Linked DNA regions of Saccharomyces cerevisiae S288C. Changing the gene in region 2 together with the main gene of any one other region gives a genetic interaction. Each region holds a gene or a part of one and is shown on either strand. Other genes may lie near its edges.

Evidence for each region. A genetic interaction does not mean that the proteins touch.
Region 1: mutations in PET122 (region 2) and PGM2 together harm fitness more than expected from each alone (negative genetic interaction), as found in Saccharomyces cerevisiae (2 studies listed by BioGRID).

Annotation. Positions count from the first base shown.
Region 1 is NC_001145.3:474,747-480,311, forward strand, and holds PGM2 (phosphoglucomutase PGM2), read right to left. Parts: upstream 2,861-5,565; coding exon 1,151-2,860; downstream 1-1,150. Other genes in the region: putative protein kinase YPK2, read right to left, coding at 1-707; YMR105W-A (uncharacterized protein), read left to right, coding at 3,318-3,512; ATP-dependent DNA helicase YKU80, read right to left, coding at 3,555-5,444. UniProt on the Saccharomyces cerevisiae protein: Major phosphoglucomutase isozyme that catalyzes the reversible isomerization of alpha-D-glucose 1-phosphate to alpha-D-glucose 6-phosphate. The mechanism proceeds via the intermediate compound alpha-D-glucose 1,6-bisphosphate.
Region 2 is NC_001137.3:472,879-477,488, forward strand, and holds PET122 (Pet122p), read right to left. Parts: upstream 1,928-4,610; coding exon 1,163-1,927; downstream 1-1,162. Other genes in the region: YER152C (2-aminoadipate transaminase), read right to left, coding at 1-1,110; membrane insertase OXA1, read left to right, coding at 2,142-3,350; GTPase-activating protein BEM2, read right to left, coding at 3,467-4,610. UniProt on the Saccharomyces cerevisiae protein: Required for expression of the mitochondrial gene for cytochrome c oxidase subunit 3 (COX3). PET122 seems to work by directly interacting with the small ribosomal subunit to promote translation initiation on the COX3 mRNA.

The DNA.
Region 1 (5,565 bases), on a different chromosome or scaffold from region 2:
GATATTTTGTTAAACACTGGTTGCTCCATCGTTCCCATATCTGGACTAATAGTAGTAATAGAATTATCAAATTCAATTGTAAAATAAAGTAATGGGCTTGAATTTGTTGACCCAGGTAACAATATAGAGGAAGGAATGAATTTAGTGGCAAAAGCTCTATCTATCAAGCCTTCCCCTGCTGAATCTTGATCCACTCTCTTGTATCGTGGTAGCTGCCGCATTATGGCTGCAACTTCGGAAGCGTCATTGGATGATGAAGTAAGGATGCCGGAACTTAGTAGTTTTTGTAAAATAGTAGAGTTAGAGGTGATAGGGAAGGGAAGAGTAAAATCTTTACCAGAATACACCTTCACTGTCATTAGTCCGGATTCCGAACTCGGTCCCTGCGTCTCAGTAGACGACTGACTAGCTTTCCTTTCGGAAGCCTTAGAATTGTCATTTCCTATCCCCGATGGATTCTTGAAGGATGCATCATTACGTAATTTTGGAGAACTTAAGGAACTTGGGAGAGTCTCATTTGTATTGATCTTTCTTATATGGTGTTCGTGTTCATGATTATGATTCTTCGGGCTACCATCGTGATGTTTTTCTCCATGGTGGAAATGAAACAGGCCATTACCCCACGATTTTTCATTTTCATCTTCACTACTCCCATCATCTTCTTTGGACCTTCCTAACTTAAACTTGGATATTCGCCAGGAATGCATGTTACTATATGTATATTTGTATACGCGATAATTTGACCCAGTTGAACAATTCTGGTTTAGGAGCACTTTGGCTGAATTTTATCATTTTATTTATAAATCTAAGGATGACGGCCATTTTACAGATTTCTCGAGGGAAATATAATAAAAAACTCGGGGTAGGTAATCTGAATTCGGGGATACGCTAATTTGGGAAAAATTCGTGAATTAGATATAATTAGAAACAGCACTTATGAAGAAGATACTGCGATTAACCAAAATATTCTCCTCCTTATGAAAAAAAAAAAAAAAAGACTCAGAAACCTATGCAATCGTTTGCTAATATGTCGAAATATGGATCTATTAAGTATATAAAGTATGTGTTCAAAAAATTGAAATTTTCTTCTTTACCGTTAATATTCATTGAAAAAGGTGAAAATCATTAAGCCATTAGTAAATCATTCGTTTTAAGTACGAACCGTTGGTTCTTCAGTTCCTAAAACTTGTTTAAAGTTCAAGAACTTGATGACCGAGTTAATAATTGGCTTCAAGTATTCTTCAGCTGTCTTTTGGTATTGTGATTTATCATCGCAGTATTTTTCAATGTACAATCTAATGGTAGCACCTGAAGAACCTGTACCTGACAATCTTAGAACGAATCTTGCACCATTGGAAAGCTTGACATATAAACCTTGATGGTCAGAAACAGAACCGTCCAAATCTGTGTATGAAAAATCACCACAATCGGTGACCTTAAGAGACTCATCGGCTGGGAAGGCGGAATTAACAACACCCGATTTGGTAACATATGCTCTCAATTGATCGACAATCTTGTTAGCTTTTTCTGTTTCAACTTTTTCAAAATCATAACGAGTGAAGAAAGTACGGCCGTACTTTGCCCAGAATTCATTCTGTATCGTCTTAATAGAAGCTTCGTTCTCCGGATGATGCTTGTTGTAAATGGCCAAGATGTTCAACCACGCCATAATGGCCCAAACACCGTCCTTTTCCCTTACGTGGTTGGAACCAGTACCAAACGATTCTTCACCACAAATAGATAATTTTTTAGCGTCGAACAAAGCACAGAAAAATTTCCAGCCAGTTGGGACCTCATAACAGTTTAGACCATGGGCCTTGGCAACACGGTCTATGGCTCCTGAGGTAGGGAATGAACGGGCCAGACCATATATACCTTGCTTGGCGAAATATGGGATTTCAGCTGCATATTCGGCAATAATTGCGACGGAGTCACCTGGAGAAACGAAAGATGGGCCGTAACCGTAAATCATATTTCTATCACCATCACCATCGGATGCAGCACCAAACTCAATCTTTTCACGATCTACTCTTTTCACTAACGAACTGGCATAAGTTAAGTTTGGATCTGGATGCATACCACCAAAATCCGGAGAAGGATGCCAGTTTTGTAAAACCTCATCCGCCGGTAAACCAAATTCATCAACGAAAATAGCCTTACCGTATGGTCCAGTTACACCGTTCATACTGTCAAACAGTAACTTCCAATTCTTAGTAGAACGTTGATTATCGATGAATTTCTTGATTAAGTCGAAATCGAAGATTTCCTTCAAGAAGTTGACATAATCTTTTGTAATATCGATAATGTCAACGAGTAATGGACCGTATTTCTTGTTCTTGCCTATCGTACCCAAGTCTAGTTCTGGGAAGTCTTTGATAATCTTATAGCTGGTAAGCTTTTTGGAAATCTCCCAAATAGCATTTGTGACGGATTCAGGAGCAGGACCCCCATTGGATAAGTTATACTTAATACCCATGTCATTTTCTGGACCACCTGGATTATGTGAGGCGGTTAAGATAATACCACCAGTACATTTTTCCTCGTAGGTTCTCATGATGTGAGAAGCGGCTGGCGTAGACAGAAGACCATGCTGGCCAATAACTAACTTTTTAATACCGTTGGCAGCACCGATAGCGGCAATCTTATGAAGAATGACATCATTGTAGTAACGCCCATCACCACCGACAACAAGAGTGGCACCTTTAGAACCCTCTGGAATAGCTTCCATGATCGATTGAATGAAATTTTCTGTGTAGTTAGGTTCGTCTTTAAACACCTTTGTCTTCTTACGCAAACCAGAGGTACCAGGCTTTTGGTCTTCATATGGTTTGGTGGGAACCGTTTCAATTTGAAATGACATGTTATGTTAACTTTTGTTACTTTTTTTACTGAGAAAGATTGGTTGATCTTCTTCTTATTATCCTATTGTTCAAGCAACGCTGAAGAAAGACATGGAACACTATCTTCGAAAATGAAACAATATTAACGGTACCTTTTTATATTTCCCACATTGTTCGGGCGGCAGTCATCCAGATTCTGAAAGAATCAACTATTTCTTTTACACTTTTCAACCCCTGTTTGTTCCTGGAACTGCACATAACAAAAGTATAACGTCCCCTTTCACGTAAGTTCCCCACGAAAAAAGTAGTGCGCGACACCACCCCTTTTCGTGAGCTCCGCGCTTCTCTTCACCGAGCCTAAGTTGGGCCTCTCCCCCCTAGAAAGAACAAGTTGGCCCTGTTGTCCTTAGCTCGCAAGCTCAGGGGCAGCAGCGTGTGTTGAGATTAGAGAACCGCTCGACCTCAACGGATGATAGTATGATTTTAGTACATACAGGGAACGTCCTCTACCCACGTTTTATTGTTGTTGCATTTACTTTTGAACAGCGACAGGGGGGAAGGTGTAAAGGAGGAAAAGCAACCTGCATGGCTAGTGTTCAAAGTTACAAGGTAACAATGCAAATCAGTAGTATGACAATTATTTACCCGCTATTTATTTTTTTTTCTCTTTAACTGTGGTGACGAAAACATAACTCAAAGGATGTTAGACCTTTTTTAATTATTGCTATTGTTTGGACTTCCCCTACTGTGTTGTTCACCGCGCTTCAATAGCGTTTCTAGGTCCGGGATCTTTTCCCTCTCAAGCTCAGTTTTTAGTTCGGAGTCGAGTTTTAATTTGTCTACTTTCTTGATGCCGAGCACTTCAACCAATTTTGTGCTATCAAATTTCTTGTGCGTGTAAGGACTTATTTTGTTTTTCAATGAGTCAGGAAGCTCTGGGATTTCAAATTCCCTGGAATCATTGATCATCAGTTGGTGAATCCATTCCAGTAGCACCTGTTGTTGCCTGTAGACAAAAACCGTGGGTATTCTAAGAGGATCCTTTTTGTTTTCCTCTTGGTCTTTATTTAAAGAGGGAAGTGGGAGAGTGGTGTCTGTTGTTACTTCGCCTATGGGTTGATAGTAGTTGCCTAACGGAATCTCTGGTAGCTCATCTGTATCCATTGAATCTACAAATTGTTCCATAAGCTCATCGATTTGATGCCCGTCTGTTTCCTTTTTCAGCGGTACCCCGGATGTAGTTGTTCGATCCAGAAGTTTTGGAAAATCAGTTACCCTCTCGTCTTCCGCGAATGGTAATCTACACAAGGTAAGGCTCTTAACAAACTTCTTCTCGGAATTAATGTTACTGTGCTCAATTAGAACGGGACACAATGCACACATATTCACTTCACTGTCTTTCTTGCTCACATATCTTGCAACAGCAATTTTTCTATTTTCTAGCATAACATCCACTAGAGCACTGAAAGCCATTAAGTCAGATTGACAGCCAAGTCTTGTGTCGGCGGTAATGAAGGAGGATTCCGACGTCAAAAAGTACCTTGGAAGAGCTTCTCTATTCAAAAATCCTCTTAAATCCAAGCCTGGAAAAGATTCATATACAGTTTGATCGACTAGAACGGACGGTAGCACTACGTAGTCTGCACCATAACGGTATGCCTTCGTTACAGAGTCTTTGGAGATGGTCACGGGAATGTATGACGATCCAGACTGGTCATCTTCACTGACATTTTTCTTATTTCCTTCGTTGTGAATTTCATATTCGATTATGGATTTGACCCCCACATACCTTTCTTTCTTCTGGGAGTCTTCCACCTCAACAGCGGTTTTCCTATTTAAGCCTGAAACTGCTTTCGTAGCAGGAAAAGCCTCTACCTTGATACATAAGCAATTTTCATCTTGCATGCTGCCGCTAGGATTCGATGTTTGTGTTGATAATATATCTGCCCCTAACCTAAGCTCGCCTGAGAATACTCTTACTGGCTTAACGACAGATGTTGCTGGGGAAGTGATTTCAACAAGAAGTTCATTCATATTGTAGATTCTTGAATTCGGTATCGCTTCGACCAACTTTAACCAGTTCGATTTTTTCCTCTCCTCTTGAGTGTCTTTACCGCAATCAATCAAAATGATTCTTGTGCTTAATTCTTCCGTTAGCAGGTCTATTTCTTCATCAGTAATATCCAGATCATCTAAATTGTCTGTAAATACAACAATTTGTTTTAGAATTTTTCTTGCTTGAAATTGTTGTTTAATATCTAATGAGACGACCAACAGACATTGAATCATTGATTGTAAGCCTTCATTCGAACTATCATGACTGTGCTGATCACAATATTGTTTCAGGCGTTTTATAAACCCAATGGTGGCCGTCGTGGTAACAGGAGCCAAAAAGGATTGTATTTGGAACACATTTGGTATTTCCTGGGAATTCTCAGATACGGGACAATTAGCGAGATAACAGCTTATCCAATCTGTTTTTCTACTTTTTTTAGATTTGTTTAATAGAGTGTACTCTAGATATGCCATAGATTTGGAAACATTATTATTTTTCATCATTGATGGTGAAACATCCACGATGAAAGTTGTTGACTCACTTGACATTATTATGGTGTGAGATATATTATTTGTGCATATGTCCTGCACTCTCGTTAATTAGGTTTTCTTCTCTTGATGATGCCCTTTTTTTTTATTCATTTTTTTGCATGACAACAAATGCCCTGAC
Region 2 (4,610 bases):
TGGTGGGAGAGTGATCCAAGTAAAATAGCCGCCCTTCAATGGCATAATCTCGGTTCCTAGGGGCATGTATTTCTTAAGCGCCGAGGTCAAGACAGTGGCCCTCTCGGAGTATACGGATCTCAGATGTGCAATGCATCTCTGGGCGGCACCACTACGCAGCATCTCACCCACGATCATGGAGTTCAGTTGTGAGGGAGTTCCGCCAGAGACGTTTGCACCACCTTTAGATAGCTGTCTGGCGAGATTCGCGTTGATTGACTCATGGTATCCAAATCTGAGCCCAGGGGCGATCAGCTTGGAGAAAGTTGCGTTGGACACTGTATTCCCGAACGAGTCCTCACCGGAGGGCGCTGTACTTCTGTCTATGTGCACCATCCTTAGGGGCGGAGAGGGCAGCTCATCTGAGGGCGTCGTGTAATCTAGAATATCGTACACGTCATCAGTGATTATCAGCATGTCGTACTTCCGAGCGATGTCGATAAGTCTGCGTCTGGTCTCAAGCGAGTATGTGTTTCCCGATGGGTTTGCAAACGTCGGGATGCAGTACATAACGTACCTGTAGACCTTCTTGGTCAACTTTGGCCCCTGAATCATCTCTGTGGTACTATGGGGCTGCGGCTCCGCCTCGTGCTGCTCAAGGGCAGAAATCAACGACTCGAAATCAATCGAGTCGTGGCCCTGCTCGTTGATGGCGGTCATTTTCCCCTTGAATCCCGCATCTGTGAAGCAATTGTTGATCAAGAAATATGTTGGCGTGATGATGAACGCCTGCCTGGTATACCCGTTATGTGGCAAGGTTGTTTGCAGAAGGATGTTCAGCATGCCATACGAAGCGCCGCTATTCAGATTCAAATAGTCTGCCCGTGTCCTGCTCCGAGCCCCATTTTCGAACTTAAACAGCTGATCATTCAGAAACGTACAAATCTGCTCTCGCACCCACAGGGCACCTTCGTCCGAACCGTACGTCAGCGGATGCCTGTTATAGGGGTCGTTATCGTACTCCCTGGTCTCGGGCCCCAATATAGCCGCAGTCGCTTGAATTACTGCTTCTCGAGGCAGCAACCTCGAGCTCGGATGGCCCTTGAAGAAATTGATTTCCTTGTATTTCATTACCGCTTGCTAGCACGCGTTGTTCCTTGTTACAGCGATGCTCCACCCAGATTTATGTGTTGATTTCAAATCCTCTTCTCTTTATCACTAGTTCGGCATCCAGCAGCGGCAGCCCGCGATAACTTTGACGGAACTCCGCCAGCACACGTCGCGCCTGCGCTGGGCCGGGAACATGCCAAAGGACACCAGCCAGTAGTAGCGGTAGTGACCATTCGTTCTTTATCACTAGGGGCTGTCGTCCAAACAACGCCAGGGCAGCTGCTTGCTCATCTTGCTGCATCAATGCTATGCCCATAGCCTTGGTCATTTGCGGGAAGTCGCGCAGCCTTAATGGCGGCTGCCCTGGTAGCGTATCCATCTCCTGCAAGAATACCTTCCACTTTTCCCTGAGCGCCGTGGAGTGCATTGTGCCACGCGCAAACGCTTCGACTTTAATCCGTCTAAGCTCATACTCAATCAGTTCATCTTCTGGGCTGGTGCGACGATCGCGATTCATCGCCTGGTAGTGCTGGAGGAACTGCGCGGGTAAGAAGAGCCTGTCCTGGTACAATGCTACGCCAGCCATTTCACATAGCAGGCGGCCCTCTACTGGCAACCGGCGTGGCATCACATGCTGATACCACATGTATGCTATAGTGTCGGCATGGGCAAGCGCAGCGGCTCGCGCTAGCATCGTGTGCAGCAGCTCCACATCCACGCTGGTCTGCTGCTGCTGACGCAGCAGCGCCAGTGCATCGGACATTTTCCCGTTTAAACTGCTTAACAGTATTCGCGACCGCACATCGGTGGTCACCAGTCTTTTCGTGATAGTCAACATGACGTGTTCCGTTCTTATGTTCGAGCTAATGCCTCGTCTGCTCTTCCACGTTCAGATGTTCCCTTGATTGCTCAAAACACTCTCAGCAGGCCGAGATTTCGATTTTAGCCAGCAGTACGGAAGTAATCCGAGCCATGAAAAATTTAACCAGTGGCTCGCCCTCTATACGTATCTGTTCACGTACAAGCGGAGCCACAGAATAACCTCCCCGACGATGTTCAAACTCACCTCTCGACTCGTCACGTCAAGGTTTGCTGCCTCTTCCAGACTGGCCACCGCTCGAACCATAGTATTGCCCCGGCCCCATCCGTCATGGATCTCTTTTCAGGCCAAAAGATTTAATTCGACGGGCCCAAATGCCAACGATGTCTCGGAAATCCAAACCCAGTTGCCTTCCATCGATGAATTAACCTCTTCAGCTCCTTCTCTTTCCGCTTCTACTTCGGACCTTATCGCTAACACGACCCAAACAGTGGGCGAGTTGTCCTCCCATATAGGGTACTTAAATAGCATTGGCCTGGCCCAAACCTGGTACTGGCCCTCGGACATTATCCAACACGTCTTGGAGGCCGTTCATGTTTACTCTGGGTTGCCTTGGTGGGGAACTATCGCGGCCACCACCATCCTCATTCGATGCCTGATGTTTCCCCTCTATGTCAAGTCCTCTGATACTGTTGCTAGAAATTCCCATATCAAGCCCGAGCTGGACGCCTTGAATAATAAGCTAATGTCCACTACAGATTTGCAACAAGGTCAGCTAGTCGCCATGCAAAGGAAAAAACTGCTCTCCTCGCACGGCATTAAGAACAGATGGCTGGCCGCACCCATGCTACAAATTCCAATCGCCCTTGGGTTTTTCAACGCATTGAGACACATGGCTAACTACCCAGTAGATGGGTTCGCTAATCAAGGTGTCGCTTGGTTTACAGACTTGACTCAAGCAGACCCTTACTTAGGTTTGCAAGTAATCACTGCCGCTGTGTTCATCTCATTTACAAGGCTGGGGGGTGAGACTGGTGCTCAACAATTCAGTTCTCCCATGAAGCGTCTTTTCACTATTCTACCGATCATTTCTATACCGGCCACAATGAACTTATCGTCCGCTGTGGTCCTCTACTTTGCCTTTAATGGTGCCTTCTCCGTCCTACAGACAATGATTTTGAGAAACAAATGGGTTCGTTCGAAACTGAAGATAACAGAAGTAGCTAAACCAAGGACTCCTATCGCTGGCGCTTCCCCCACAGAGAACATGGGCATCTTCCAATCATTAAAACATAACATTCAAAAGGCAAGAGATCAGGCGGAAAGAAGGCAATTGATGCAAGATAATGAGAAGAAGTTACAAGAAAGCTTCAAGGAGAAGAGGCAGAATTCCAAAATCAAAATTGTTCACAAATCAAACTTCATTAATAACAAAAAATGAATAAAGGCTCTATATCTCTCTGTAAATATAAAAATATAAAACTCAAACCCTCGATAGGCGGGACCAAATTTTTTCTCTCTCAGCAGTGGATTGTATACATTTACCACGAAAATTGTTTATTGCTTGAAATAATCATTTGGATTCTTAATAAAATCTTGCAGGATTGTCTGAACTGCACCTAATCTGGACCCCATGCTGTTGGCTAAGTCTTCTTGGTTTATAAAACTCATGGAAAATACAATAGCCAAGTTTGATGCGTCCATTTTATTATTTACAACATGCTGATGTACTTTATTCAAATGAAATACAATTCTTTTCAAAGTTTGGTAATAGCATGTAGGTAACTTTTGGAGTAACTCATTCATCATTCTCTTGTATTCTTCATTTACCATTGCATGTGCTTTATACTTAATCGCCAAATCGGTAAAGTCGTTCACCATAGCATGAGAAAATAAAGAATCTGGTAACTCTCTTAAATACATCTTAAAACAGCCTGCGATCGCATTCACTTCAAACCATCTATCGTCCTCTAATGTAAAGGAATTATCTGTTGCACCTTCTTCGTCAAATGCGTTCTTTAGTGCATTTATACTGCCGATGGAACCAGGAATTCTGTACAATCCCACTTCATCTAGCCCACGCAGCTCAATCTCTTCCAGCAATTTCACAACAATTGTAGGTATCAAGGTATTCTCTCTTTCACAAACGTCTTCTAATGGTACCCCAAATATCTTATTATGAGTTTTACCTTTATATTTTTTCGAATGGAATGAAAATCTCTTGGAAGCCTTGATCATTTTTATCCATTCTGTGAGGTCACTAGAACTAGCCGTTTGAATCAGATATTCATGGCCATTTTGCATAACTATCTTGAACGCATAGTAGTAAGCCGGAATGTTTCTGTGATTGATTATTTCCATTATTGACTTGATTTCAAAGGTCTTCAAACTATAACTAGGTTTTAAGTCGTGTAGTTGCATGGAATCAACCTCTGGAAGTATACTTGGTAGAATGGATTTGTTACTTGAAACTTCTTGCGATAATATACTGTTGAGTGAATAATTAGAACTGGATGTGTTGAATCCACCGATTGAAAATGGTCTTCTGAAAAATCCACCTATTTTTTTACTAACACCATTATGGCTGGAATTTGACACTACTGATGATCTATTTGTGGAAAAGGAGGCCCTTGAATCTCTTCTATTCCTTGCTGAATTATTGCTTTCCATAACACTACCTAGAGAAGGCGTTTGACCGGTG